Linked DNA regions of Macaca fascicularis. The protein of the gene in region 4 purifies or fractionates together with the protein of the main gene of each other region. This does not show direct contact. Links are inferred from orthologs where the notes say so. Each region holds a gene or a part of one and is shown on either strand. Other genes may lie near its edges. The genes, in order: CTTNBP2NL, STRN4, MAP4K4, ZRANB1, STRN, CTTNBP2 and GCC2.

The links.
Region 1: the proteins of ZRANB1 (region 4) and CTTNBP2NL purify together in Homo sapiens (affinity purification with mass spectrometry; 4 studies listed by BioGRID and IntAct, with this or other methods). This does not show direct contact. The link is inferred for Macaca fascicularis from reciprocal best matches to the Homo sapiens genes ZRANB1 and CTTNBP2NL.
Region 2: the proteins of ZRANB1 (region 4) and STRN4 purify together in Homo sapiens (affinity purification with mass spectrometry; 4 studies listed by BioGRID and IntAct, with this or other methods). This does not show direct contact. The link is inferred for Macaca fascicularis from reciprocal best matches to the Homo sapiens genes ZRANB1 and STRN4.
Region 3: the proteins of ZRANB1 (region 4) and MAP4K4 purify together in Homo sapiens (affinity purification with mass spectrometry; 3 studies listed by BioGRID and IntAct, with this or other methods). This does not show direct contact. The link is inferred for Macaca fascicularis from reciprocal best matches to the Homo sapiens genes ZRANB1 and MAP4K4.
Region 5: the proteins of ZRANB1 (region 4) and STRN purify together in Homo sapiens (affinity purification with mass spectrometry; 4 studies listed by BioGRID and IntAct, with this or other methods). This does not show direct contact. The link is inferred for Macaca fascicularis from reciprocal best matches to the Homo sapiens genes ZRANB1 and STRN.
Region 6: the proteins of ZRANB1 (region 4) and CTTNBP2 purify together in Homo sapiens (affinity purification with mass spectrometry; 3 studies listed by BioGRID and IntAct, with this or other methods). This does not show direct contact. The link is inferred for Macaca fascicularis from reciprocal best matches to the Homo sapiens genes ZRANB1 and CTTNBP2.
Region 7: the proteins of ZRANB1 (region 4) and GCC2 purify together in Homo sapiens (affinity purification with mass spectrometry; 3 studies listed by BioGRID and IntAct, with this or other methods). This does not show direct contact. The link is inferred for Macaca fascicularis from reciprocal best matches to the Homo sapiens genes ZRANB1 and GCC2.

Annotation. Positions count from the first base shown.
Region 1 is NC_088375.1:121,993,843-121,998,025, forward strand, and holds the start of CTTNBP2NL (CTTNBP2 N-terminal-like protein), read right to left. Parts: upstream 2,801-4,183; 5' UTR 2,430-2,800; intron 1-2,429. UniProt on the Homo sapiens protein: Regulates lamellipodial actin dynamics in a CTTN-dependent manner. Associates with core striatin-interacting phosphatase and kinase (STRIPAK) complex to form CTTNBP2NL-STRIPAK complexes.
Region 2 is NC_088393.1:54,747,706-54,751,945, forward strand, and holds the start of STRN4 (striatin-4), read right to left. Parts: upstream 2,801-4,240; 5' UTR 2,770-2,800; coding exon 2,488-2,769; intron 2,424-2,487; exon of another isoform or gene 2,387-2,423; intron 1-2,386. UniProt on the Homo sapiens protein: Calmodulin-binding scaffolding protein which is the center of the striatin-interacting phosphatase and kinase (STRIPAK) complexes.
Region 3 is NC_088387.1:6,341,035-6,344,534, reverse strand, and holds part of MAP4K4 (mitogen-activated protein kinase kinase kinase kinase 4), read right to left. Parts: intron 3,385-3,500; coding exon 3,151-3,384; intron 2,272-3,150; coding exon 2,165-2,271; intron 789-2,164; coding exon of another isoform or gene 786-788; coding exon 637-785; intron 4-636; coding exon 1-3.
Region 4 is NC_088383.1:133,885,944-133,890,187, reverse strand, and holds the start of ZRANB1 (ubiquitin thioesterase ZRANB1), read right to left. Parts: upstream 2,801-4,244; 5' UTR 2,656-2,800; intron 1-2,655. UniProt on the Homo sapiens protein: Ubiquitin thioesterase, which specifically hydrolyzes 'Lys-29'-linked and 'Lys-33'-linked diubiquitin. Also cleaves 'Lys-63'-linked chains, but with 40-fold less efficiency compared to 'Lys-29'-linked ones.
Region 5 is NC_088387.1:85,309,222-85,312,721, reverse strand, and holds part of STRN (striatin), read right to left. Parts: intron 808-3,500; coding exon 671-807; intron 1-670. UniProt on the Homo sapiens protein: Calmodulin-binding scaffolding protein which is the center of the striatin-interacting phosphatase and kinase (STRIPAK) complexes.
Region 6 is NC_088377.1:159,151,941-159,155,108, forward strand, and holds the end of CTTNBP2 (cortactin-binding protein 2), read right to left. Parts: intron 1,637-3,168; coding exon 1,391-1,636; 3' UTR 501-1,390; downstream 1-500. UniProt on the Homo sapiens protein: Regulates the dendritic spine distribution of CTTN/cortactin in hippocampal neurons, and thus controls dendritic spinogenesis and dendritic spine maintenance.
Region 7 is NC_088387.1:15,941,707-15,945,708, reverse strand, and holds the start of GCC2 (GRIP and coiled-coil domain-containing protein 2), read right to left. Parts: upstream 2,801-4,002; 5' UTR 2,732-2,800; coding exon 2,717-2,731; intron 2,383-2,716; coding exon 2,326-2,382; exon of another isoform or gene 2,282-2,325; intron 915-2,281; coding exon 830-914; intron 1-829. UniProt on the Homo sapiens protein: Golgin which probably tethers transport vesicles to the trans-Golgi network (TGN) and regulates vesicular transport between the endosomes and the Golgi.

The DNA.
Region 1 (4,183 bases), on a different chromosome or scaffold from region 4:
CTATTCTTGAGCAAAAATCAGTAAACAATCAGTCCCTAGTGAGCTCTTCTAAATTCACTTCATTCCTATCGGGTCAGATATTTAAAACAATAAAATCCTGAAATGATTAGCACTCATTATGTTCTTAAGTCTGGTGCAAATTTCATGACAGTAAAAATAGTATTTTCTAACCAGTAGATTTTATATATATATATATTTTTTTTAACTGCTTTTTTTTTTTTTAAGAGACAGGGTCTCTTTCTGCTGCCCAGGCTGGAGAGTGCAGTGGCATGATCATAGCTCACTGTAACCTCAAACACCCGGGCTCAAGCAATCCTCCTGCCTCAGCCTCCCAAGTAGCTAGGATTACAGGGATGAGCCACCACATCCTGCCTCACAGATATTTCTTTATAAGAAATTCAAAATTTTAGTCACTTAAGACACTGGAATTTCATAAGACAGCAGATGGGGAAAATCAAGTTAAATGAAGACAACAAGTAGACGGTTTATACTAACAAGTTGTGCCACATCTAATCAGTGCATTGCCTTTCAGTCTACCCTAAGGTGACAGCTTCAAACTAAGTTAAACAAACACTCATTAAGTCATACTATATACCAGGAACTGTGAAAGAGACAAAGACGAAAAACAAAAAATACTACTATCTGCCCTCAAAGAATTTATAATTCAAGGAGAGAGATCAGACATATATCCCCTGCATACTACGCTTTTCTTCATCTGGCATGACCAAACAGGTGTTGAAAAGGTTAAAGGAAAGATTTTCAAGACCCAAAAGTGTAACAAACAGATCTTGCTTACTGTGCTAAATAATAAAAGAACATTATTTGCTTTTTCCTATTAAAGCTCAGCAATCACCACAACTTTGGTTTGCTTAGTCTCTTACCTTAGTTTATTTTCTGTTCTCTGCTGATGTAATACAACTTATCTTTTTGGGATTTTCTGTTCTACTTTTAGCTTTTTCTGCTGTTATTGCAGGGAGCCCATGTTTTACCCTTCTATTGCAGCACACATTGTGTTTGCTAGAGACACCCTCCAGTTTCTTCTTTGTGCTTTCTTATTGGAGATTTGGAAACGCTCACTAAGAAGATCTGTGAGCACTCTGAAACCTTCAATTCTAACTATTCAAAAATAATTACCCTCAGGAAGTCTAATCAAGAAGGTAAAAGACAACAGTCATTACAATCACCCTCTGTGATTCCAACTCCTTGAACTTCATTGCCATCAGCTTTGGCTATAGTTGACAGCGGGGAGGTGGACTTGAGATTGAAAGCAAAAAAAAAACTATGCTAAAAATATGGTAAATTTTAATATATAAAAGTGCTAGCGATAGATGATTACTGGGGATTCAACGACATTAACTTGAGGTCAAAATCAACACTTTGCACCTGCTGAAATGAAGGCCACTTGACAAAACCTTTAGGAGCACACTAGAGGCACTTTTTGGTAAACATGAATAGCTAGAACACCTTGCCTTTATTTACTTTGATCTCTGAGATTAAAAAATTACTTTTCATCGTCTAAATTTTGATAGATGATCGTAAAACCAATCAAAATATACATGAATGTTTCCTGGGGGCGGGGGAGACACTATAAAAAAGGGGTTAGAGAGTAACCAAAGGACACAGGACTAGATTAATCATAAGCCTAGATGACTGACCCTGAATTTTCTTCAAACACTTCCTGCCTTTTGTTTCAAACTGCAGTATACCTTCAAGGTTAACTGCAGTCTCCCTGAGCAATGGACCAGCCCATCCTAGACTGGGATATACTCATTCCTAATCCACTGCTATTTATTTACTTACGTATACTGTTTCATTTGAAAACATGGTGTTATTCATTGACTGTCAAGCAACATACACTGCATTCCTGCCCACACAAAGCCAACTCTGCAGATATCCAACACACCCACCTCACTGTGAAATATAAGATGGCTTTTCATCAAGTTCTCAGAGAAGAAATAGGGTGGAAAAGGAAAAATGAAACGCAATTCAAACCTAAGAAACCCTTAGAGGCTGGGTTCTCCCAGAAGGAACAGAAAGTAGAAGAAAGGTACAAAGGGCGAGGGAGAGGAGGTCCTAGTTCTCCCTCTTTCAGAGTCCAAAGAAGTCCCAAAACAGGAGAGCTCTCGACTCCTCACAAGAGGCCAGAGGATGTGAGGGGCGGCGGGAGGAAGACTGAGCATCAGAGAATGGGGGATGGGAAGAACTTAAGTGGGAGAAGCCGTTTCCTCGGTAAAGCTGGCTGTCTAGGTCGGTCTTTGATTTTCGCTTCGCCCCATCCCTCTTTTTTGGGAAACACTAATTTTATCTTACGGAGGAAAGCAGCTCCAGTCCCACCCTGGAGAGCAGAGACAGGTGTAGGGAGGGATGTCTGGCCTTCCGGGGGTGCAAAACGGGGTTGGGGGCGGCAGCCTAGAGAATCGGTACGGTACCTGTGAGTCCTCTCCTCCAAGGCTGAGGTGCGGGGTGGGAAGAGCCTTTGAATGAGGGGTATCAGAGGGAAGCCCCTTCTGAGGAGCTGGGAATCGACGAGGGACAAAAAGTAGCTGTGAGGACCCTCAAAGGATGAGGAGCCGCCTCCTCGGGGAATACCGGGAGGTGGAGGAGATGGCCCCGCCCCCTCAGGGGATGGGCCCAGAGGCCGTTAGGACAGCGGCGAGAAGCTACCGGTGCCCCTATACTTGCTTTGCTCTTGAGAACCCGGCCTCTCAGCCATCATCAAGCCCCAGGGAGTGTGGTTCCTACCTTTCCACGACGCACCGGGCTCCGCTCCCCTCCGCCTCTACTCCCCATCCACAGCGGCAGAGGCCCCGCCCCCTCAGCCGCCCGGCGGGGGCATTGGCATTCACCAGCGCCAATCGCCTCCTTGCTTCTCCAGCATTGTCCCCAATCCGCGCCGGCTGGAGGCGGAGCTTCTCCAATGTCATTCAGGCTCCTCCCGGGGCCCCAAGATCCCTTTTGTTTGGGAAGAGCAAGGCTGGGATTGAGCTCGCGTCACTTCCGGGAGGAAGCGCCGTCCTCGGTCCCGGGCTTCAGGATGGGCTCGTGCCCCTCCCGGCCCTTGGTCTGCAACTTTCCACCTCTGCGTGGTTTCTGGGCAGGACCGTGGCTAGTGCTTAGTGCTTTTCCCTGACTGTACGGGGAGTTTAGGAAAGGAGGGCTCTGGTGGCCTGATCGATTGGGATTTTTTCCAGAATGTTAATAAATGAAGTGGGCTTTGATGTCTGCATTAGAATGAATTAGTTGTTGAAAACCTGGCTTCCTTGCTCCCCCCTTTTTTTCTTTTTTCTGGACGCAACTGTGGGCGTGGTGCTGCAAGCAAGGGTGCAAAGATGAAACACCTGGAGATCACCCTTCTCTCAACCACAGTTTGTACAGAAGAGAATACTAATTTTGGGGGACATAAATCCAGCCGACCTGCTTTCCAGGCAGAAATCGAATAATTGCAAATTTGTGTGGCAGGTTTTTCCACACTATGCTTGCCAGCTGAGGCGACTTTTTTCTGTCCTTGGCCTCATTATATTGCGGGGAATGGTGTTTGCCGTGAAGTTAAACAATGGAGAGTACAGAGGATGCAAGGAATGTCTGCCTTGTGAACACAGGAATGCAGATCTTGGTGGCAGCAAGTCTTAGGCAGGACCGAGTAACTCAGAAAGGGGAGTGGATGTATAACTAGTTGTATCCCTACCTGAAGTCAAAGTTTCTGAATTCCATTTCCACAGAATGGCTGTCAGCTCACAGATTGATTCAGCTGGTTACATTTACGATAACCACATTATTTTAAATACAATATAGTAAATATTTGAGACGAATATTTATAATGCACAAATAATGTAGTACACTTAATACATTATCCCTAAACTTAGCAATTATAATTCGCAAGACAGCATTAGGGACCTAGTACTTGCCTAGGCAAACAGTCCTCAAGGCAGATGCCGCCTGCCCCATGCAGTTTACAGTCTGACCGAGGGATGTGATCAGTCTGTGCGATTATAGTCTGAAAGAAGTAAACGAGTATTTATCATGTTATCACTGTGCCATGTACTTTCATTTAAATGGTATTTGATGTCATCTTCAGTACTGTATGAGAAATCTGTCGTACAGTGTAGGATAGACACCATTGTGTCCAATTTACAGATGAGAAGATAGAGATTCAGAGAAGTCAAATAAAGTCATAGAGCTAGTA
Region 2 (4,240 bases), on a different chromosome or scaffold from region 4:
GGGAGGCCGAGGCAGGTGGATCTCTGGCGGCCGGGAGTTCAAAACCAGCCTGACCAACGTGGCAAAACCCCCATCTCTACTAAAAATACAAAAATCAGCCAGGCGTGGTGGTGCACACCTGTAATCCCAGCTACTTGGGAGGCTGAGGCAGGAGAATTGCTTGCAACTGGGAGGCAGTGGTTGCAATGAGCCGAGATCATGCCACTGCACTCCAGCCTGGGTGACAGAGTGAGACTGTCTCAAAAGAAAAAAAAAAAAGGTCCACAGACAAGCCCTTCTGCTCATCTGCTGGGATCCTCGATAAATCACCCTCTCAAAACTTCCATTTCCTCGTGATTTTTTTTTAAAGGCAGGGGGAATATCCTTTACCCTTCCAGAAGGCCATAAGAATGAAATGACAGCTCGTATCTACAGTACTTGATACACAGCCCCAGACATGGTATGTGCTCACTAAATTGCAGCTGGTGCCGTTATTGCTGAGTGAGGTAATGACACTGCCTCTGCCTACATCACGGGGCACTGAGAAGATCTGATGAGATGTATGCTGGGAAAGAGCTTCGGAAGTAGAGAGTGGGACACAAGTGAGAGCAGTTACATAAGGATTCTGCTCCCACCCCAGCTCCAAGCCTCAGCCACCACAAGTGAGGGCAGGGGGAGAGTTACTTGAGGTCTTTACTCATCCTACGAACAAAATACCGTTTTTGTTGTTGTTGTTTTCTGAGATAGGATCTCACTCTTTCGCCCAGGCTGGAGTGCAGTGGTGCAATCATGGCTCACTGCAGCCTCAACCTCCGGGGTTCAAGCAATCCTCCCACCTCAGCCTCCTGAGTAGCCGGGACTACAGGTGCACATCACCACGCCCGGCTAATTTTTGTACTTTTTTGTAGAGATGAGGTCTTGCTATGTTGGCCAGGCTGGCCTGGAACTCCTGGGCTCAAGGGATCCTCCCACCTCAGCCTCCCTAAGTGCTGGGATTACAGGCATGAACCACCGCACCCCATCCCTACCAACAAAATTCTCATCAGTTATTTATTTGGGTGCCAGCTTCCACTAGATAGAAAACGGCAAATCGGAAGGGGAAACGTGGGCTGCTACAAGGAATACTAGCAGAAAAGTACTGACAATTTCTGCTAATAATAACCCAGTCCAAGAATCTTCAGACCTCCAGTGGGCCATTCCTAATCCCTTCAAATCCGGACATCTCCATGATCCTCCAGTCACTGCCAATGGACCTGATGCTCCACGAGGTCACAAACCCCAGCCCAACTCTTCAGACTCTTCCATACATCAGCCCGGAGCACATCCCTGTCCCAAGCTACCCCACAAACCATGGGGTCTTTTCCCAGGACTTCCACAAACATATCTCCTTCCCCCCAACCCCACCCTACCCCCGTTCTCTCTGAGATGCCTCCTCATGTTGCCTTCGGGCTCTACAAAATTCTCCCCCCTAAAGCATCACCCCAGGGTAACACCTAACTCGTCCTCATTGGCACCATCCCAGGACCCTCACCTCCATACTGGACATGCCCGACACCCCCACACTCCAGTTCAGGGTTCTCTTCCTACATCCTACACACACGTCCCATCTCAGTGCCATCGCGCCCACTCCTGCACACCCCCAAGTGGAACTTCCACTCTCAAGTTCTCCCACCCAGGCTCCTAGGGTACATCTCCTGCTCTGTCCACACTTCCACTCCAAAGATCCCTTCCCTGCACTCTGCAGCCACACACGCCCGGGATCCCCAAAGTTTCCCCTAAGAGGGAAAGGCACACACCTTCATCCTGGACCCCTCGAAACTCTCTTCCCACCTCTCGGGTCCTTACACAGCCACCCTTCCGTGCCCACTGTCCAGTCGCCCCGAAACACATCCATCTCAGGCTCCCGGACTTCCTCTCCCTAACTCCTCCCGGTTCCCGGTCTGGATCCGCTCTTTCCCAGCGTGTCCCAAGTCCCCCCTCGGACGCTTCTACTTCCCACCTGCACCTGGCTAGGGCCGGGGTCGGGGGTCCCTCTGCGCCCGCCGAGCTTCTGCTCACTCCCACAGGAGACCACTCAGGTCTTTCCCAGACCCCTCCAGCTCCTCTCCACACCCTTTCCCGAGTTCTCTTGGGCTCCCCTCCAGGGCCCGAGTCGCCTCTCTCAGGAGCCCCGCGGCCGGCGCGCTCAGTTCCAGTCCCAGTCCCACTCCCAGCCAGTTCTGGTACCTCGGCCCCTCTCTCTCGGCCGGTCCCGGTGATCCCTCCCACTCCCGGTCCCTCCACTCCCACCTCGGGCCGTCCCGGTCCCCTCCCACCCGGGGTGCCCTCAGGACACCCCTCGAACGGCCCCTCACTCGCCCTCCGGGACCGTCGCGGTCCCCTCCCGCCCCCCCCCGGCCGTCCCGGCGGCCATTGCTCCAAGATGGCGGCGGCGGCGGCGGCGGGTGAGGCCGGGCCGGGCCGGGCCGGGTGGGGTTGGGGGGTCGGGGGTCCCGGGACGGCGCTCACCTGTAACTCGGCGCGCTCGGCCTCCCAGCGGGCTTTCTCGGCTTCAAAGCGCGCCCACTCGTGCTGGATAAAGTGCAGGATCCCCGGCAGGCTCAGGGGCTCCGGGCCCGCCGTGGGCCCAGGGCTGCCTCCGCCGCCGCCTCCCTTACCTGCCGGGCCCGGCCCGGGGGCTGGGGCGGAGACCGGGGCCGCCCCAGTGGGGCCAGGGCCCGCGCCTGAGCCGAGCGGACGGCAGGAGGAGGCGGCGGCGGCGACCGCGGCGGCCGCTCGCTCCTCCATCATGGAGGCCCCGGGGCCGGCCCGCGCGCCCGCTGTGCTTCGCGCGCCTGCGCGGGCGCTCCAACACCCCCCACCCCCCCCCCGCACCACACACACCACCACCGCGCGCGCGCCTGACGGAGGACAGTGGGAAGAGGGGCTGGTGGCGAGCTCGAGGCCGGGCACGAGCCTCGCCCACCCGGGTCGACCCCAAGGGCTAGCGTGCCCGCGCGGGGGGCGGCGAGAGGGAGATCGCGCCCCGAGGAGGGCGAGGGAGACCCAGACCCCGCACGACGGTCCCCCTCGCTGGAGTGAGACTGAGGAAGGGGCCACTTTCTGCCCCCCTCCTCCTACTCCGCCCCAGAAAAAGAGCCTTACCCCTTCCACACCCAAACATCACTCTCCTGGACAATTACTTTTACTCTGAGAGAAAGGGCGACCAGCAGTGGCCCCATCCTCTCTGATTCCTGTCCAGGTCGGTTGTCATGGTAACCTTTCCCCATTGGTGGGGGCGAGTTGGTGGGGGACAGCCTTCCCCTCCCTTCCACCTTTGTGGTTATGGAGCCCCAAACCTCTTCGGACTCTGCACCAGGAGAAGGTTGCTAAGGTAACCTAAGTCCCTGGTGGTCCTTCTGCTCCTTTCCTCATTGGTTACTATGGCAACCCCCCACACCTAGCCTTCAGGTAGAAAGTACCCCAGCCCCAAAGACGCTGATCTCTAAGAGAAGCACCTCTTCCCCAGCCCCTCCCCCATAGCCACCTAGTTGGCATTACCATGGTAACCGTCTTCCCCTTCCCATTGTGGGAGGCCCATGCACCAAACCAACCAGGTGTTTTTATTTAGAGGAGGAGATGCTCTGCTGAGGGGCAGTTGCTATGGTTACAGGGCCTGGACCATCCTCTGGGGGACGAGAAACAGGCAAGGTCAAGGCCTGGTTACTATGGTAATAGAGAAGCCCCCTTCGAGTGACCCTAGGAACCAAGCCCAACCAAGGAGGGGAATTTTTTTTTTTTTTTTTTTTTTTTGGAGACGGAGTTTCACTCTTGTTGCCCAGGCTGGGATGCAATGGCCCGATCTCGGCTCACCACAACCCCTGCCTCCCTGGTTCAAGCCGTTCTCCTGCCTCAGCCTCCTGAGTAGCTGGGATTACAGGCATGTGCCACCACGCCTGGCTAATTTTTTTTTTTTTTTTTTTTTTTTTTTTTTTTTTTTTTTTTTTGAGATGGAGTCTCGCTCTGTCACCCGGGCCGGAGTGCAGTGGCCGGATCTCAGCTCACTGCAAGCTCCGCCTCCCGGGTTCACGCCATTCTCCTGCCTCAGCCTCCCGAGTAGCTGGGACTACAGGCGCCCGCCACCTCGCCCGGCTAGCTTTTTTTGTATTTTTTAGTAGAGACGGGGTTTCACCGTGTTAGCCAGGATGGTCTCGATCTCCTGACCTTGTGATCCGCCCGTCTCAGCCTCCCAAAGTGCTGGGATTACAGGCTTGAGCCACCG
Region 3 (3,500 bases), on a different chromosome or scaffold from region 4:
ACGCTATTGGGTTTAAAAGGGACAAGACGGACGGACACATATCAACATATGGATGTGTATTACGAAGCTGCCCTGCCCACCCCGCCCACTCCTGTCTGCGCATTCATGGCAGGCTCTCCACATGCAGGTATGAACTACAGAGCAGAGAGGGCCCAAGGAGGGCTCCAGCAGCCTTCCTGACTCTTTTACTTAAACCCTCCATCATCACACTCACTTTGACACGTGTTCACAATGTATACCTTGTCACAGTATGTCAGTAATACAATAGAGGGAATATTCACTCATCTATTACAAGTACATTAAAATAACCAATACTGATGACGGTATAGGCTCTGCAGCCCAGACTGAAAGAAATGGGTTCAAATCCTAGCTCACACATTAGCCCATTACTTTGGAAAAGTTAGTTAATCCCACTAAATTGTAAAGCACTCACAGTGCTAGGTATATATTAAGCTCTCAAAATTTAGCTCCTTTATGATTAAAATCAGGATGACTATTATTGTCACTGGCAACCTATGCTAAAACATTGTTTTGTGATGTGTGGCTACACGCAAACCACAGATTAAGACGAACTTCCAATATATGGATCACAGCCCAAAACATTAGCAGGGAAAAGGCAAAGGAAAGGCAGCCTACATCTCACTCTGAAGCGTTCCCCGGAGCCACTCTGAGACCCAGGGTGAGACCCGGGCTGGGATCCTGAGTTGCTGGACCCTGAGGAGCTGCCACTGCCAGGTCTGGGCACCAGCTTCTCCACTCTCTCCCACAGAAGCCTGGGCTCAATACTGCTGTGAGAAAAGAAGAAAAAAGAACAGCTAATGCATCATCTCTAGATGCCGTACCATCGTGTGTCCATCCAATGTCTTTAAAATGTAGGGAGGAGAAAAACAGTCTATAAACAGCATTCAACATTAAATTCACCAAAAGATAAAATGACATTATTCATGGATTTTTATCTCATATATTTTTAGTTTGTATGCTAAATGGTATCCTACCATTAGATCTAAAATCATCAGGCGTGATATACTACTACTGTTCAGTGTAGAAGTAGCACCATTTCTGTCACAGCTACATGTCAGTTCTTAACATTAGGAAAACACTCCATATTTGTATAATTATACGCAAAACTATATTCTGTTTCTAGGCGGCTGCTCTCACCTGCCTGTTGCTGTTCTCAAAAACTGACACTTACAAAGAATAGTCCTTTGTATGGGCTGTTAGAAATTGTACAGAAAGCATGGACTGGGATGGATTTCCTGCCATGGATGAACCCAAAGCACACATGTGCTAGGTAAGGATTAATGACACAGACTTGGTCACAGAAGAACACCACAGTCCCCCTGCCACTAGCAGTGCTGAGGATTCTGTGCAGCTTTTGGGCCATCATCCATCTGACACTTCAAGTCAGACCAAGGTTCCATGCGCAGAAGGCTAACTTCGGAGGTTCAGTGATGATTAAGATATAAAACATTCAACATAATCAGCTTTTCTTCCCTATGATAGTGCTGGTCAATGAAGCTTTCTGTTATGATGAAAATGTTCTATATTTGAGCTGGATAATATCATAGCCACTAGCTACATGTGGCTATAGAGCTCATGAATATACCCAGTGCACTACGGAATGAAGTTCCCACTGTATTTCATTTTAACTAAATTTAACCTTTAATTTAAATTTAAGGAAACTTCTGTAGCTAATTGTACTGGACAGAGCAGCTCTAGAACCTAAAAAGGATATTATTTGGTTAATTCACTTGCTTATTGCAGACTGTCAGTCAACAAGTGACTTCTTCAGTAACCTGTTTGTGATTTCTGTTTTATGCCACAGGCCTTACAACGTCCCTTAGATGAAAAGCTCCCTCTGATCACAGTTCTCTTAGAACTTCTCTCCCTTCCTTGGTGCTCCCTCCATTTACTCATACAGAGAAAAGTAGTTTAAATTTCAGAGTTGTTATATTCATGCACACCCAGATTCAAACCCACTTTTTACTACACATCAACTTGATGCCATCCACGTTGATGGATTGTATGGCAGCTTTTCCTTTTATACCTAATAATCTCCTTGCCCCAGAACTTCTGTGTTTAAGAGCATTTTTATGAAACAGACAATGTAAGGCTGTGGTAGACTGCACAGGAGGCCTGTTCTCAGCGCTCGCTTGTCTTTTACCTGGTGGAGTTTCTCTGTCCTGCCTGGCTATTCTGCTGCCCACTGCCCTGCAGTGGGGAATCTCGACGGGACAGAACAGGGGAGCGAGATGTTGTTCTCACAGGAACCTTTAAGTAGAAAATATAGCAATTAAATTATTGAAAACATGAGAAGGAAAAAAAAATATTTCCCAACCAAAATATATTTTTAAAGCAGTCCTAATATTTAAAAGCAGTCCTTCCTATCACCTCCACTCCCCACCCCCACTCCTTCCCTGGTCCTACACTGATACAATCGGACAGAAAATTTAGTCACAGGCATCCAAGAAGCCAGTACAAACAGTCTTTCTATGCTCCTGTAACATTTAAATGATGTCTGGACTGAAGCTTGGTAGCAGGGACATACAAAGCATTTGCTGAGATAACGTGAGAATCAGGAAATAAGCTCAAAGAAACCAAACAATGGTCTATAAATGGATTGGCAGGAAGCAAAGACTGGCAGGAAGCAAGAAAATATTCAGAGGAAGCAAATTCCAAATGAGGAAAAATAAATTGACATTGGCTCTTTTGTTTAATTTCACTAACATGTAAACACAAAAACAAAACAAAATCCCCTACATTTAAAAAGAAAATAAAATTTTTCTTATAAGACCTTTTCTAAAAGTTTTGACATTAATACTGCGAAACTGCATAGCTTCTGCATAAACATATAGAAAAACTGCTAAAATAAATTATGAATTTGTTTAAGAAGCCTATTCTTTGTAGACATACTCTTACATCATTTTGCTGCCTTATTTAGAGTTAACAACAATAAAACGCTAACTGGCCACTGGCTGAGTAAAACTGTCTAACTATGGAACTTTATCCTCACCATTAAAAAGTCCCTTTGAAATTTCAATGCCCCTTTAAATTTGGTAAAGTTGCATCCCCATAATTAAAATAAATAATCTTAAAAAAAAAGTAACAAAAAGGAAAAAAGCAGCACACATCTGTCTTTCTGCTCCTTACCCTTGGAGGCACCTCGTCACTGTCTGATCTAGACCAAGCCTTTTGGGTAGGGTCGGGCGTCTCTGACTTAGAGTCAGAGCTCTGACTGAGCACCTCACTGCGGGAAGGTGGACATGGGTCCTGAGAACGAAGATGGTGGTGTGCAAATTTGGGAGGAGAAGGGTCACTGAAGGAATGGGATCGCGAGACAGGGGAAACATTGTTCTTGAGAGATGCCAGGTGGGACCACTGTACCTTACAAGAAAACAAAACACAAAACATTCAATGCGTTCTGCATAAAACTGGCTTTTCTGGTCAATACCAAATCCAAAGCAGGAACTGGCAGAGGCAGAATACACACCGGGGCGGTA
Region 4 (4,244 bases):
AAAACAAAAAAAGGCAGGGGGTGCTGGGCGCAGCGGCTCACACCTGTAATCCCAGCACTTTGGGAGGCCGAGGAGGGCAGATCACGAGGTCAGGAGGATAGAGACCATCCTGGCTAACACGGTGAAACCCCGTGACATTAAAAATACAAAAACTTAGCCGGGCGTGGTGGCAGGCGCCTGTAGTCCCAGCTACTCAGGAGGCTGAGGCAGGAGAATGGCGTGAACACGGGAGGCGGAGCTTGCAGTAAACCAAGATCGCACCACTGAACTTCAGCCTGGGCGACAGAGCGAGACTGCGTCTCAAGAAAAAAAAAGGAGGAGGAGGAGGGAAAAAAAAAAAAAAAAACCTGAACCAAATTAATAGTGGTCTACTTTTGTTTTGTGTTGTTTTCAAATGCAGTCCCGCTCAGTCACCCAGGCTGGAGTGCAGTGGCTCGATTTCGGCTCACAGCAACCTCCGCCTCCGCGGTTCAAGGGATTCTCTTGCCTCAGCCTTCCGAGTAGCTGGGATTACAGGCACACGATACCATGCGCGGCTAATTTTTTTATATTTTTAGTAGAGACGGGGTTTCACCATGTTGCCCAGGCTAGTCTCGAACTCCTGACCTCAGGCGATCCGCCCGCCTCAGCCTCCCAAAGTGCTGAGATTATAGGCAAGAGCCACCGGCCAGGTCAGTGGTCTACTTCTGTAATTCACATTTAAAGTTTACATTTATTATAAAGCACATGAACAAGCTCTCACTGTATCAATTACACATATGAAGCAATTTCCCTCAAATATTGTACAACTGGATCATGAGTTCCAAAACTATGTTAATCCTCAGACTTTAAATGTGACATGCCATAACCCCTATCAGCGTACAGACATGGATCAAGGCCACGAGCTTAAAATATATTACTATGAATGAGTTCATCATACCCAAGCACATTTCAAGAGTAAATAAATGGGTGTCCCAATGCTCTGAGGCATTAATAAAAGGCGCTAAAACAGCAACAGAAATAAAATCCTTCATGACATTCAAATAACATCCTCCTCAAAAGAGCAAAATGTGTCATTACTGTCCTACTATCTCGTAAACCCCCAACAGCCCAATAAAAACAATGTTATGAAATTTTAGTATAAAGAGCCTGCCTACCTTTAGAGCCAAAAGTCAAGAGGATTCTAAATTTTTTTAGAATTACTTCATTTAACTCAAAATAATAACAAGGAGACAAAATCCAGCTTTATTTCTCCCATAGTTCAGATGACTTTCCCAAGAGCCTTGGCACAAGGCGAGATCAAAATTCCTTATGGTTTCCCCTGGTTTATGTTTTGTACACTGAGTCATCCATGTTTGATCAAAACAGGGGTACTGCTGGATACTGCACAAGTGATGTTAACTAAAACACACAGGTAAAGAAATCACTCTTTACAGAATAGGTCCCAGAGTTAAAGATTTCTCTCAGGCCAAGCGCGGTGGCTCACGCCTAAATCCAGCACTTTGGGAGGCCGAGAGACGGGCGGATCACCTGAGGTCGGGAGTTCGAGACCAGCCTGACCAACATGGAGAAACCCCCATCTCTACTAACAATACAAAATTAGCCGGGCGTGGTGGTGCATTCCTGTAGTCCCAACTACTCAGAAGGCTGAGGCAGGAAAATCGCTTGAACCTAGGAGCTGGAGGTTGCAGTGAGCCGAGATAGCGCCACTGCACTCCAGCTTGGGCAACAAGCGCGAAACTCCGTCTCAAAAAAAAAAAAACTCGAATTGTGTTCCTAAAACGGTATTTTTGCATATTAGATTTATTAACATCATCATAAACACGGTGAAACCAAAATACTGGTAAAATGGGGCGGCGCTTAAATCGACAGTCTACGGAGTTATAGAAAAGGGTAATCAACTGACGGAAATACACAATTCTCAGCAAGAGAGTTTCAAAACACTAGTGTACCTCAAAGATAATGGGCCGGTTCAAACTTCCAGGCTTAACCTAAACTGCCTGTTCCCTGCGCTTAATGCCAGCATTCACTACAGTTCTTTTGTCTGTGAAATGACCCGCACCAAACCACAGCAGAGAAGAAACAGATCCTTGCACTGAACACTCGTTACTTAGAGCAGAAGGGGTAGACGAATCTTTCCACTAGCTCCAGCTCCTCCTCCCCACCCGCCTCGTCGTCCCCCACCTTTATTTTCCTAGAAATGGCAACTGGAGGCCACCGCAGGAGGTGGAAAGCAAGTGGCCGAGGGACTGAAACACAAGTTTGGAGACCAGAACCAACTTGTGGCGATGGACCCAAGTGTTTACGGCCTATTGCGGAATGGGACCGAAACCCCACTAGCTAACCCGTCTCCGGCAGGAAAAGAAGTTGTGGGGAAATCTGGCGGAAGAGCGGCGGCGGGACCCGCACGGCGTCCAGCCGCGGCCGGCCGGCGGTCGGTAAACAAGCTGGGCGGACCCGCCCTCCCACAGCCCCTGGGCCGTCCCCGCACCCGGAGCGCCTAAGATGGAAGGGCCGACAGCGGCGGCCCGGGCCCCTGCCCTCCCCGCGCCTGCGACGCGGCCGCCCCCGGGGTGCCGGGCGGGCGGGCAGCCCGGGAGGCCCAGCAACCTGGGCGCCGCCTGGAAGCGAGGGACCCGGCAGGCCGCGGTGGGGCGCCCCCCAGGGCCCGGTTACCTGGCGGCGGCGGCTCCCCCTCCAGCTCCTGCTCCTCCTCCCCGTCCGACGGGCGCTTGGCGGCGGCGGCGGCGGCGGCGGCGGCGGCGGCGACTCCCCGCGCAGCCCGCGGCGACGAGTCGAGCCCGTCCCCTCTCCGCCTCCCTCCGCGCCGCCGCCCGCCCCGCTGCTGCCGCCTCCGCCTTCTCCCCTCAGTCAGGACATGGTCTCCGCGGGTCCGCGCGCGGCTCCTGGCTGCCGGAGGCCGGGGTAGAGGGGCGGAGAGGAGGCGCGGAGGCTGGGGAGCCCCGGGGGGCGGGGGCAGTGAGGTGTGGGAGGCGGCCGCGGGGCTGCGGACCCCTAATGGCGGCAGCCGAGGGACCCGGAGCCAAATAAACCCCGCGGCGAGCGGCACAACGTCAAGGCCGGACCCAGACGCTCGCCGCCCTGTCATTGGCCCCGAGGCCGCCGGCGGCGCAGCCAATGAGCGGCCGCCTCATTCCGGGCTCAGGGGGCGGGTCGAAAGAGGGTGACGTCAGCCGGAGCGCGGCCTCGATTGTGAGTCGGTGGCGCGCGTTGGCCCCGCGCTGGTTCCCTTCCGCGGACCGCTGTGGGCCTGAGGGTGCCGGACCGCCGTGGGGTGCGTGGCGCTCGGGGGCGCGGGCTGACGGCGGCCCGGAGGGCGTCCTCGTCAGTGTCTGGAGGCGCGCTTTGCCTCGTCTCTGCGACACATGCGCCGGAGTTTTAAGTTAACCCCCAGGTCTCACGTAGCCTAAGCGATCTACGTATAACCCAAATGCTGCTTTACTTTTTCTTAAGGACTTTGAAGCTCTTCATAAAACACCAGGGAAGACAAAGCTCTAGGTGCTTTGTGATGGTTTGATTTTTTAAATTTATGTTTTGCAGTGTCCGATTTTTACCCCTGCCTTTGCTGGGGCTATCCGTGTATATGGATGTATGTGTATATTTCTCGTTGCTCTGTGCATGGTACATGTGTGCGTACGTAGATAGACACGCCATGAAAAGTCATGGAGACCTTGCGTCTTGCTCTCCTCCACGACTTACTGGCGCTAGTCTTGGGAAAATCCAACCTTCTTATGGATACCTTTTCTGTAAATTAGAAATAAACCTTTCCTAATAAGCCTTATTTCTGTAAATAAGCCTTACCTATCTTCAGGCCGAGGATAAATTACAGCTATGGAAAACATACTGCTTAGGAGAATCCCCTGGGACCAAGTTCTAAACAGATATGTGTATTTCTTTCTTTTTGTACTGTAAAAATAACCAAATAGCCAAAATAAGCCAGCCATTTGTTAAAACCCCATGAGTATGGGAAATTTTTCTAGCAAGAGATCTTTGTTTTTTCCCAGTGGGACTTTACCTTGTAGTTTTCATACTTAAAATTTTGTGAGGAGAAGATAGAATTTGAAAGATCAGCCGGGCGCGGTGGCTCAAGCCTGTAATCCCAGCACTTTGGGAGGCCGAGACGGGCGGATCGCGAGGTCAGGAGATCGAGACCATCCTGGCTAACACCGTGAAACCCCGTCTCTACTAAAAAATACAAAAAACTAGCCGGGCGAGGTGGCGGGCGCCTGTAGTCCCATCTGCTC
Region 5 (3,500 bases), on a different chromosome or scaffold from region 4:
TTATGTACTAAAGAAGCAAAGCAAATATTGTTTAGGTAGGCATGAATTACAACTAATTGCTGGTGCCCTGAAACAGAAAACAAAATTCAAATTTGGTAATGGAAAAAGGAATTCTTTCCCCTATCAAAAACCAATACACAAATCATACTAAATTATGGATTTAGGTAAAGCCCATAATTTTCATCTCTAGGTTATGGAAAAATGTTAGTTTTTCTTTATGTATCTTTCAAAGTTTTCAATGGAAACTGAACCAAGTTCTATATTTGTAAAGAAGTTTTACCACTGTCTTCATTTTCTATAAAATCAACTTTTTATTTTATTTTACTTTTTTGAAACAGAGTCTCACCCTGTTGCACAGGCTGGAGTGCAGTAGTGTGGTTTTGGCTCACTGCAACCTCTGCCTCCCAGGCTCAAGCAATTCTCCTGCCTCAGCCTCCCGAGTAGCTGGCATTACAGGCACCTGCCGCCATGCCTGGCTCATTTTTTGTATTTTCAGTAGAGACAGCATTTCTCCATGTTGGCCAGGTTGGTCTTGAACTCCTGACCTCAAGTGATCCGCCCGCCTCGGCCTCCCAAAGCATTGGATTTACAGGCGTGAGCCACTGTGCCCAGCGCAAGTTTTTATTTTTAAAAACCAAGTAAAAACATCAAAAACAAAACTACTACTTACATCGTAAGTTAGGGAGTCTGCTTCATTGGCCACCGTAAGGCCTGCTAGTTCTCCAAGTCCCAGTTCACTTTCAAGGGCTTCATCTGCTCCCATGATAAATGACTTTCCAGAAGAAGGAGGAAATGTCAATGCTTCCACTGAAGAGGGAAGACAAAGGAAACATTTAAAAATCTCTAAGGAGCCAACATTTAGTTTCATTTGCTTGCATCAAATTTCTTATAGTGCACGTATACACTTAATCGTTTTTAAATGCTTTTAAACACAATAAAATTCAGTGGGCAGAAAATCCTAAATAATTTATTGCTTTTTCCATATCTTAACCACAGGTAAAGGCATCAACTAATTAGAAAAGTAAAACAGGAAACAAATCTAAGAATCCACTGTCCTTTCATTTTCACTATATAAAAAATAATGACTATAGGAAAGTAAGTTTTCCTTGTTTGATATTTCATGCTAATTACCTAAACAATTTCTATTAATTACTAAATATATGTAACAAGTGCTGGTCTCATTCAAAATATAATTCATTAATTTTATAACCTAGAAGAGTATAGAAAATTTCAAATGAAAATGGGTCAAACTCTAAAATGTGCCTGTTTATGTGACAAAATCAATATGTGGTGTTACAAGTCAGGATTACCTCTGCTGGGCAGGAGAGGGGTAGTGATTAAAGAAAAGAAGCAACACAGGACTTCTAGGGCCCTGGTAATGTTCTACTTGTTGACTTAAGGGGTGGTGACATGGGAGGGTAATAATTCTACCTTGATGACAATTCACTGAGCTGTAATATCAGCACTCTTCTGTAGGTATATTATACTTCATCTAAAAATGTTTACTTCAGATAATATTTTTTATTTTTTTATGTTTTTTTCTGAGACAGTCTTGCTCTGTCGCCCAGGCTGGAGTGCAGTGGTGACATCTTGGCTCACTGCAACCTCCACCTCTTGGATTTAAGAAATTCTCCCTGCCTCAGCCTTCCGAACAGCTGAGATTACAGATGCGTGCCACCATGCCTGTCTAATTTTTGTATTTTTAGTAGAGATGGGGTTTCACCATGTTGGCCGGGCTGGTCGCGAACTCCTGACCTCAAGTGATCCACCTGCTTTGGCCTCCCAAAGTGCTGGGATTACAGGCGTAAGCCACCGCACCCGGTAAAGAAAATTTTTTGCTTTTGTTTTTGTTTTTTTGTTTTTTAGATGGGGTCATGCTCTGTGGCCCAGGCTGGAGTGCAATGGCGTGATCTCAGCTTACTGCAACCTCCGCCTCCTGGGTTCAAGCGATTCTCCTGCCTCAGTCTCCCAAGTAGCTGGGATTACAGGTGCCTGCCACCATGCCTGGCTAATTTTTGTATTTTTAGTAGAGATGGAGTTTCACCATGTTGACCAGGCTGATCTCAAACTTCTGATCTCAGGAGATCCACCCGCTTCGGCCTCCCAAAATGCTGGGATTACAGGCATGAGCCACCACACCTGGTGAGAAAATTTAAAGTGTCCATTTGAACACTTTCATTAGCTGTGAACTGTGTACTTCAAAAATGTCAGTTTTACTTTGTGAATAACTTGAAATATCCTATTTTGTAACATTTTGAACATACCAATCCAAGTCCTTCAACAACCATCATAGAAAAATCAGTCAAAAGCAAAATGTCATATTAATGATTTTATTAATTTGGTCAATAACAAAATGTCACTCTCCATAAATGCAAATTGTTCTGACAAACGTCAGAGATGGTCTTTGAGTAGTTTCCTAGAGGTGGTTATATATGACAAACATTTGTGATTCAGTAAGATGAATTTAGTAGTTCAAACCCTAGCTGCTAAAGGGGTAATTTTCTTAAAAGAAACAAGTCAACTGTATTGACTAGTACATGTACAAGACATTTTTCAGATTTATATTCAATCATGTATGATAATAAATACTCATTGAATAAATGAAAGAATTGGCCAGGTTCGGAGGCTCATGCCTGTAATCTTAGTGTTTTGGGATACCAAGGTGAGAGGACCCTTTGGGGCCAGGAGTCTGAGACCACCCTGGGCGACAGGGCAAGACCCCTATCTCTTTAAAAAAAAAAAAAAAAAAAAAAAATCTGAGACAGGGGTCTCGCTCTGTCACCCAGGCTAGAGTGCAGTGGTGCAATCTCAGCTCACTGCAACCTACGCATCCCAGGTTCAAGCAAACTCTCCTGTCTCAGCCTACCAAGTAGCTAATGCCACCATGCCTGGCTAATTTTTGTATTTTTAGTTGAGATGGGGTTTTGCCACGTTGGCCAGGCTGGTCTCAAACTCCTGACCTCAAGTGATCCGCCCGCCTGGGCCTCCCAAAGTGTTGGGATTACAGGTATGAACCATCACGCCCGGCCTCTACAAATTTTTTTTAACAATTAGCCAAGCACAGTGGTGCATGCCTCTAGCCCTAGCTACCTGGAAGGCTTGAGGCAGGAGGATCTCTTGAGCCCAGGAGTTTGAGGCTACAGTGAGCTATGACTGCACCACTGCACTCCAACCTAGGCGACAGAGCAAGACCATGTCTTTTAAAAAAAATTTAAAAATAGTTACTTGCTTTTAAAAACAGTAGTGACAAACTCTTAAAATCCTCATCAGAACAAAATAGAGCATAAATTAAGACATTATCAAACCACCATACAATACAGTAGCAAAAATAAAAATAGGTTTTACCCAAAATACCATATATCATCTGAGAAGTTCAAACAACTCTAAACATTTACTAAAGAAGAAAAGGAATTGTTTAAGTTAGAACAGCAATTTTCAGGTCAAAAATATCAGTCGAATGACTCATGTGAGACTATGATGGTAGGTCTTCAGCCAGGTGT
Region 6 (3,168 bases), on a different chromosome or scaffold from region 4:
TAACAAATCAAATTAGATATAATTTAAGCAGGTGTATGTGAGCAGGAAAAAAAAACACATTAGAACCACCTGAATGTAGATATGATCTATGATTTTGAGAGCATTCAGTTTTGTTCTCAAGATCAGTGACATAATCTTTACATTGTTATTTTTAAGGTATGTGCCGTTTTGTAATAGCAATACAATGCAGGTATGTATACTTCATTGTAAATAACCATTCTGGCCAAAAAAAGGCTTTCAATGACTTTGGACAAGTAAATGATTCCTGGTACAATCATACTTCTTTGGTATTTATGAAAAAGAAGATGTTTTAACCCCTGAGCACCCAATTCCTGGTGCTCCATTTAAGTATTTAAGATATTTCTAATAGGGTTGAATCTTGTGAATAGCTAGTGAAATACTAACATGGAAGGCAAGTTTTATGAGCATTACTAAATTGAACACAAATTATCTGTTGCATAGACTACAAAGAGCTATAGATAAAAAGTACAGCAAAATGATTTCACTAAATCAATATTTTATTCAGTGTCAAAGCATCTTAACTGAGTTGTATAAGTAATTTTGTCTGTAATTTTAGAAGTAACACTTGTAGAAAATATCAATTTTATTATCAGTTGTGCTGCTAGAAATAATATTGAAGGAGTTAATTCTGAATTAATTTATTCATTTATGCAGTTATTTATATCCACTTAGGTACAAAACTTTTGTAAGAAAGATAACACTTTTATTGCATTATAATTTCATATTTTACAGGAGTCATAATGCAAACTCATAAGCATAAATATATACATGATGCTACCAAATGGCAATGTAACTACTAAGAGATTTAAAACATAAAACTAGAATTTAACAAGCAAAATACTTAATATGGCTTTTAATGGAAAATAACTGTTTAGAAATGATTTGTTATTGCCCCATTCTAGTCATTCCCCATCAAGTGAACATAAAATTATGATCTCCATTTAAAATGGTACATGTTATCTAAGCCAAAGTTATACATTTTGTAGCATGTATGTAGTATGATTTGTGGACTTCCTTAAATATACATACATATATACATATATACAGATATACAGTACACAGTTCTGTTTTAATACCCCTGAACATCTTGATTAAAACTATTACAATTTTTTCTATTATAAAACTACTTGAAAAGTTGGCATAACTTCTTGGTATCGAAGTTCAATCCTACAGAATTTAAAAAAAAAAAAAAAGCAACAAAATGTTGGTTATAAATACATTCTTTACAAAAAAAATTGAATAGTGGTCCCGCACTCATAACTTATATTACAGTGAAAACATTTTATCCATTTAAAGGTATTTATATCTTGTTGTCCTTGGTTTCTGTGTGAAACAGAGGAAGTTAATAGTGAGAATATTGTAGGCAGGCCTATTTGTTAGGTTTGTCTAGGTGTTCATTTTTGTGTAAGTTCCAATTCTCTTCTTTTGAGTTGTTGTTGATTTCTATTTGCCTTGTATTACTGCTGCTGCTGCTTCTTTTGGTGTTCTGGGAACACAGGGTGACTTTACTTCTAGGAACAGGAAGAAAAGATTTAACTCTTGAAACACCCAACTCAGTCTTTGATTTACTGTTGCTGCATTCAGTAGTTTGATGGCTGCTGAGAGGACTGACCTCCTGTAAGAGACGAGAAACCACACAAGTTTATCACATTTGCCATTGTCACCAACTTCTCCTGTTATGAGCCCTACCCCTGCCTCCTCTTTGAGCAAATGCGCAGGAGTTTCTAAAACTATAGGTTCTCATGAAAAATCAAAAGAAAATGGAGAGGACAAGCTGAGTAATTAATTTCCTATAGATTTACTGCATGATTTTCATTAGTCCCCGTCTGGTGTTACAAAATTGCTAAATATAGGAGTCAGTGAATCAAGTGCTAAGGCATCGCTCTCCTTACCAGCAGAAACTTCACAAAATTACAGGCATGAGGAAATCACCAAATTGGAGTAGTCCAATTTGTAGGTAGCTCTGCAGACTGTCACCTTGGGTAAGTTACCTAACTTTTCTGCCTTCTACTTTCATGTCCTAAAAGTGACCTATTACTCAATAATCAAATAATCTGGGGGCATAGAGCAGAAAACATAAGAGAAACATCCCTTCCCTAGCAGAGCCTACATTCATCTATGATTAGGTTGCTCAAGATCTTCCATACTTGGAAGCTGCATGTATCTCCTTTCTCTAGTGTTTCAGAACTCCTGTGATTACCTGGTCAATGTCTCTTTTTGCCCATGAAGAATCTGAAAGCTGGATAGGTAAGATGATTTGCCCACAGTGAACGGAGTGGTGAAGCTGGGACAAGACCTCAGGTCTCCCAACTTCCACTCAAGGTGTTTTCCCCTATATTGCATCAAATTCTGCAAACTAACAAACATGATATGACTCCTACTAAGTGAGCTACTCTGAAAGCCTCTGAAGGAGCTGACCTTAATAACTTCCCCTCTTCACAGGTAATAATGCAGCCAACAGCAATATAACCATTAAAAGATTTAAAACAAAACTAAAATTTAACAGGAAAAATCTAACTTCACCTGGCAGTTGCATTCTCCTGGGTATCGTCTTACATGATATTGGAATCACCTGGGGGAGCTTTAACAGTCATTGGCTGGGCCCTATTACCAGAGATTCATATTTAATAGTTCTGGGGTGTGGCATGGACATAGGATTTTAAAAAATCTTCTCTAATATGTGGCCAAAATTAAGAACCCCTAGCTTAACTCCTCAATATCCTTTTCCTCCACTGACCAATTAAATCAGGGGTCCCCAACCCACAGGCTGTGGACCAGTCCATGGCCTGTTAAGAACTGGGCAGCACAGCAGGAGGTGAGCGGGGGCAAGCCAGCATTACCACCTGAGCTCTGCCTCCTGCCAGATCAGCAGCATTGGATTCTCATAGGAGTGCACACCCTCTTGTGAATTGTGCAAGTGAGGGATCTAGGTTGCCCAGTCCTTGCGAGAATCTAATGCCTGATGATGTGAGGTGGAACAGTTTCATCCAGAAATCATACCTTTTACCCAGGTCCGTGGAAAATTGTCTTCCAAGAAACCAGTCCCTAGGGCCAAAATGGCTGGGGACTGCTGTCCTAAATGGTAGTATTTTTCTTAGCCCTCTATAAGTCACACATTGGTGATCTTTCCCTTCAGAGTATTTCAAT
Region 7 (4,002 bases), on a different chromosome or scaffold from region 4:
TTGGCAGGCTGAGGCAGGAGAATCGCTTGAACCCAGGAAGGGGAGGTTGCAGTGAGCTGAGATTGTGCCCCTGCACTCCAGCCTAGCCAACAAGAGCAACACTGTCTCAAAAAAAAAAAAAAAAAGAAGAAACGAAACGTTAATCGAAGTGTTTCACTAGCGAATGCCTAGATCTCAGGCCTAGAACTTCTTTCCAAATAAATTATTCTCTTTATTGCAAAGTGATCCAAACTCCCAAGACATAATTTTATCTTTTCTAATAGAAAACAAGTCTCGGCTTTTAGGCTAAGCAGTTAATATTTGTAAGTCACTGGAAATTCAAGAGCTCATGTACATATACTAAGAAAAAGATCTAAGATCTTTTTCCTTCTGGAATAAAAAGAAAACTGAATAGGGAATCAATCAACTTCAACAGATAAATATACTTTAATGTCTATAAATGGAAATCTTTTATTATTTTAATTGAGGAAGCGTTCCATCTCTTTGGGCTTATCTTCTGTCTCTAACATTTCAACTGACTTCTCTTGAAAAAACGCTTTACTCAGAATAATCTAAAGTCTACATGAAGGAAAAACACTTAACTTGCACAAACTTTAAAAATCCTCCTCCCTGACTTTAACAACTCAAAAGTCACTGTGGTTTAAAGACGTGGGAATAATTTAGAAATCAGAGGTAAATTTTTAGAATGTTAAATAACAGATTCTACTACACTAAGGTGTACTTGGAATCACTGGAAAACAAAAACAAGCCAATGCATTATTTTAAAAACTACCATTTTAAACCACGATTAAAGAGACTGTGATCAAGATGAGTATTTTCAACCCAATACCTGTACACCTTGACTTAGCTTTCTGTATTAGCATCATCTGTTTCTTGGCAAACTTGATGAGGTCTTCTTTGGGCAATGTTTCCAGCTGAAAGATGTGGTTATGTTACCAACTTGTTACAACTCATGTTTCTAGTATACCACAAAAAACAAACAATGTCTGCCAGAAAACAAAAACATTCTACAGAATAAATCTTTATGCCAACAGCATACTTTGTTCCACTTTTTTTTTTTTTGAGACAGAGTCTCGCTCTATTGCCCAGGCCGGAGTGCAATGACACGATTTTGGCTCACTGCAACCTCTGCCTCCCAGGTTCAAGCAATTCTCCTGCCTCAGCCTCCCAAATAGCTGGGATCACAGGCGCCCGCTACCACGCCCGGCTAATTTTTGTAGTCTGAGTAGAAACGGGGTTTCACCATGTTGGCCAGGCTGGTCTCAAACTCCTGACCTCAGGTGATCCACCCGCCTCGGCCTCCCAAAGTGTTGGGATTACAGGCGTGAGCCACCGCGCCCGGCCACATCTTTTAAAATAAGGAAATGCAACGTCAACTCTGTAATTGCTATGCAAGTACTAAAAATTAGTTATGCGACTACTATTAAACGCAAATACCAGGGCATATCCTCTTATAGCTAATGTTACAGGTTGACATTGCTAGCTTTTGATTTAATTGTAAAATTAGTGGGTTGGAGCTAATGCTACTTAAAATTGCTTGGAGCTGTAAAAGTATTTCATTCTATTTAAGGCTGAAAGTGTCACAAGAAAATGTAAGCATAATTACAGCAGCAAGATGAACCAGGTGACATTCAGGCTTTAATTAAAAAATTAAGCTTTACCACTTGAAAAAATTACTTAAGCCTGTAGTCTCAGGTTTAAGCTTTACCACTTGAGAAAATTACTTAAGCCTGTGGTCTCAGGTTTCTCAACAACAGTACCTATCTCACGGTTATCATGAAGCTTAAATGAAGTAACTGAGTGGTTAGGCAAGTGCCTGAAATTTAGCATGCAAGCAATAAACCTTAGCAATAAACTACTATCGTTTAGCATGATTAAATGTTAAACACCGTACAAGGCCATAAAACTGGACTAATTCAACGCTTTGACAATGTAAAAACTGGAGCCCACAGATCAGAATCCCTTGATCCCTACACTATGTCACTGCTCCTTCCACTACATCACTATATAAACCTTCTTAAATTAGACTGCTTTGTTTCATGTTCGAAAAATCGCAGGATCTCCCAGCAGTGCTAACCAGGAGCAGGAAGTAAACAAAAAGTCTTTTTATATCGGGGTGGGCGGGGGAGAAAGAAACAGGAAATGGATTGGTGACTGCGTCAACTAAAATTGAGATCCCTTGGAGCAAGGATATTAAAAAAATAAATTATATGTGTGTGTGTATATATACATATATATATAGCGCCCCCCTTCTTCATGCCAAAGTTTTCCAATTCATCACCCTTCCAGTCTTCAGGGAGCCCGCTATTCAAGTATCCTCTTCACCTTAGATTTCCCGGTCCCAGGGGTAGCTGGTGAAGCCACCCCATCTTGAACAGGATCCTACAAAACAAAATCAAACGCAGGTGTCAGAAGAACTCTTTTCCTAATCCCACACGGAACGCGTGGAACCTTTACAGGGAAAAACCTTCTATGGAATCAAGTGGTGGAAAGCCTTGTGAGACAGAGAATGAGGGCGGACGGAGGCGGTCGCTGTGGCAAATCGTATACAAACGGGCTCTATGGGGACAGGTAACCGCCAGGGATGGAGTTTAGGGAAGATGTGGCAGGCGACTGCAGAGCGGGCTTCGGGGTACCCTCCGCGCCCTCCCACCGGGCCCACCCCCACATCCCAAGTAGCTGCGCGGAAGGCTTGATGGGAGGCAGTGGGCCCGACCTGAGTTACCTCCATCGCCGCCTGCCTGCCGCTGGCCCGCAACCAGCCGCCGCCACCGCTGCACTTCTGTTTGCGCCAGCCTCTGACGTAGGCTCGACTGCAGGTCAAAGGTCGCGCTCTCCGGGCGGCCCGCCCCCCGCGTCTCCATAGCTACGGCTCGGCAGCACTTCCGCTTACGCCTCTGTGTCCGGGTTAAGGTTTCCCGCGCCGCGCCGAGGGCGGAGTCGGTGTAGGCGTTCTACCTGGGGCTCGACCCCTGGGCCTGCGGGTCACAGGGTAGGTGTGGTTCCCGCCACCGCCGGTTATTGGCATGGGAACGCGGGCCGATTACCCCTTGGGGCCTCGGTTTCCACGTCTGTAAAATCTTGTGAGAGTGAGGAGAGCATTGGATTGAAGTACAAGTCCCTCAGGCCCCGAAGGTGTCTACTAGCCTGCGAGTGCCTGCGGGACCCACAGTTGCTTCCGGGGGTGGCTCCTTAGGCATTTGTGGCCAGCATGGTGCCCGGGAGCTCCGTGACTCACAGGTCAGTGATGAGGTGGAGGACTTCCCTGAGGAGGCGTTCCTTGACTCTGGAGGCTGTGAGGAGGTCCCGGGACAGCTCTGCCCTGTAGCCGCCCAGTACTGCTGGTGATGTGGTAGAGGCAAGATAGTCTGCCAGGGAGCTGGGCAGCTGTGGGAGGAGACTCTGTAGAATAGGGGGCACGAGGGCACGCCGAAGAATCTGTGGTCGAATCCCAGAGCTGCTGCAGTGTCCTGATTGGCGGTCCAGTGCTCTGAGAGCCTTTCTGTTAACTGCTGAAGTGGTTTGCTACACTTTTACCTTTCCATTCATGTTTTCCATACACTCCCATAACTAAGGTGACCTGAAGATAACTCAGTTTCCTGTAGTTTAAATGGTCAAAAGGATGAAGAGGCAGCATACAGTATGTAACCAGTAAATGGTAGCTGCTTATTACTAGGTAAAAGAAGTGTTATTGTGGACATCTACTCTTTGTCTTTGACAGGGTGTATCACCCATAGTGTTTGACTAGGATTGGTTCAGGGGTGGTGTGTGACCTAAGATGTACAGTCAGAAATTTTGAGACTTCTATTTAGTATTTTGGTTTAGTGATACTATTTTCTCTTTCTTTGGATGTGATTGAAGAAACATACAGCCCTGATTGCTGTTGGCAGACAGCTGCCGCTATGGTAGAAAGCAGCCTGAGGACAAAATTGTTAAGAGGAAAAAGCAGCCTAAGGACAAAATTGTTAAGAGGAAAAAAGCAGAGCCGAGGCAGCTCCGGAG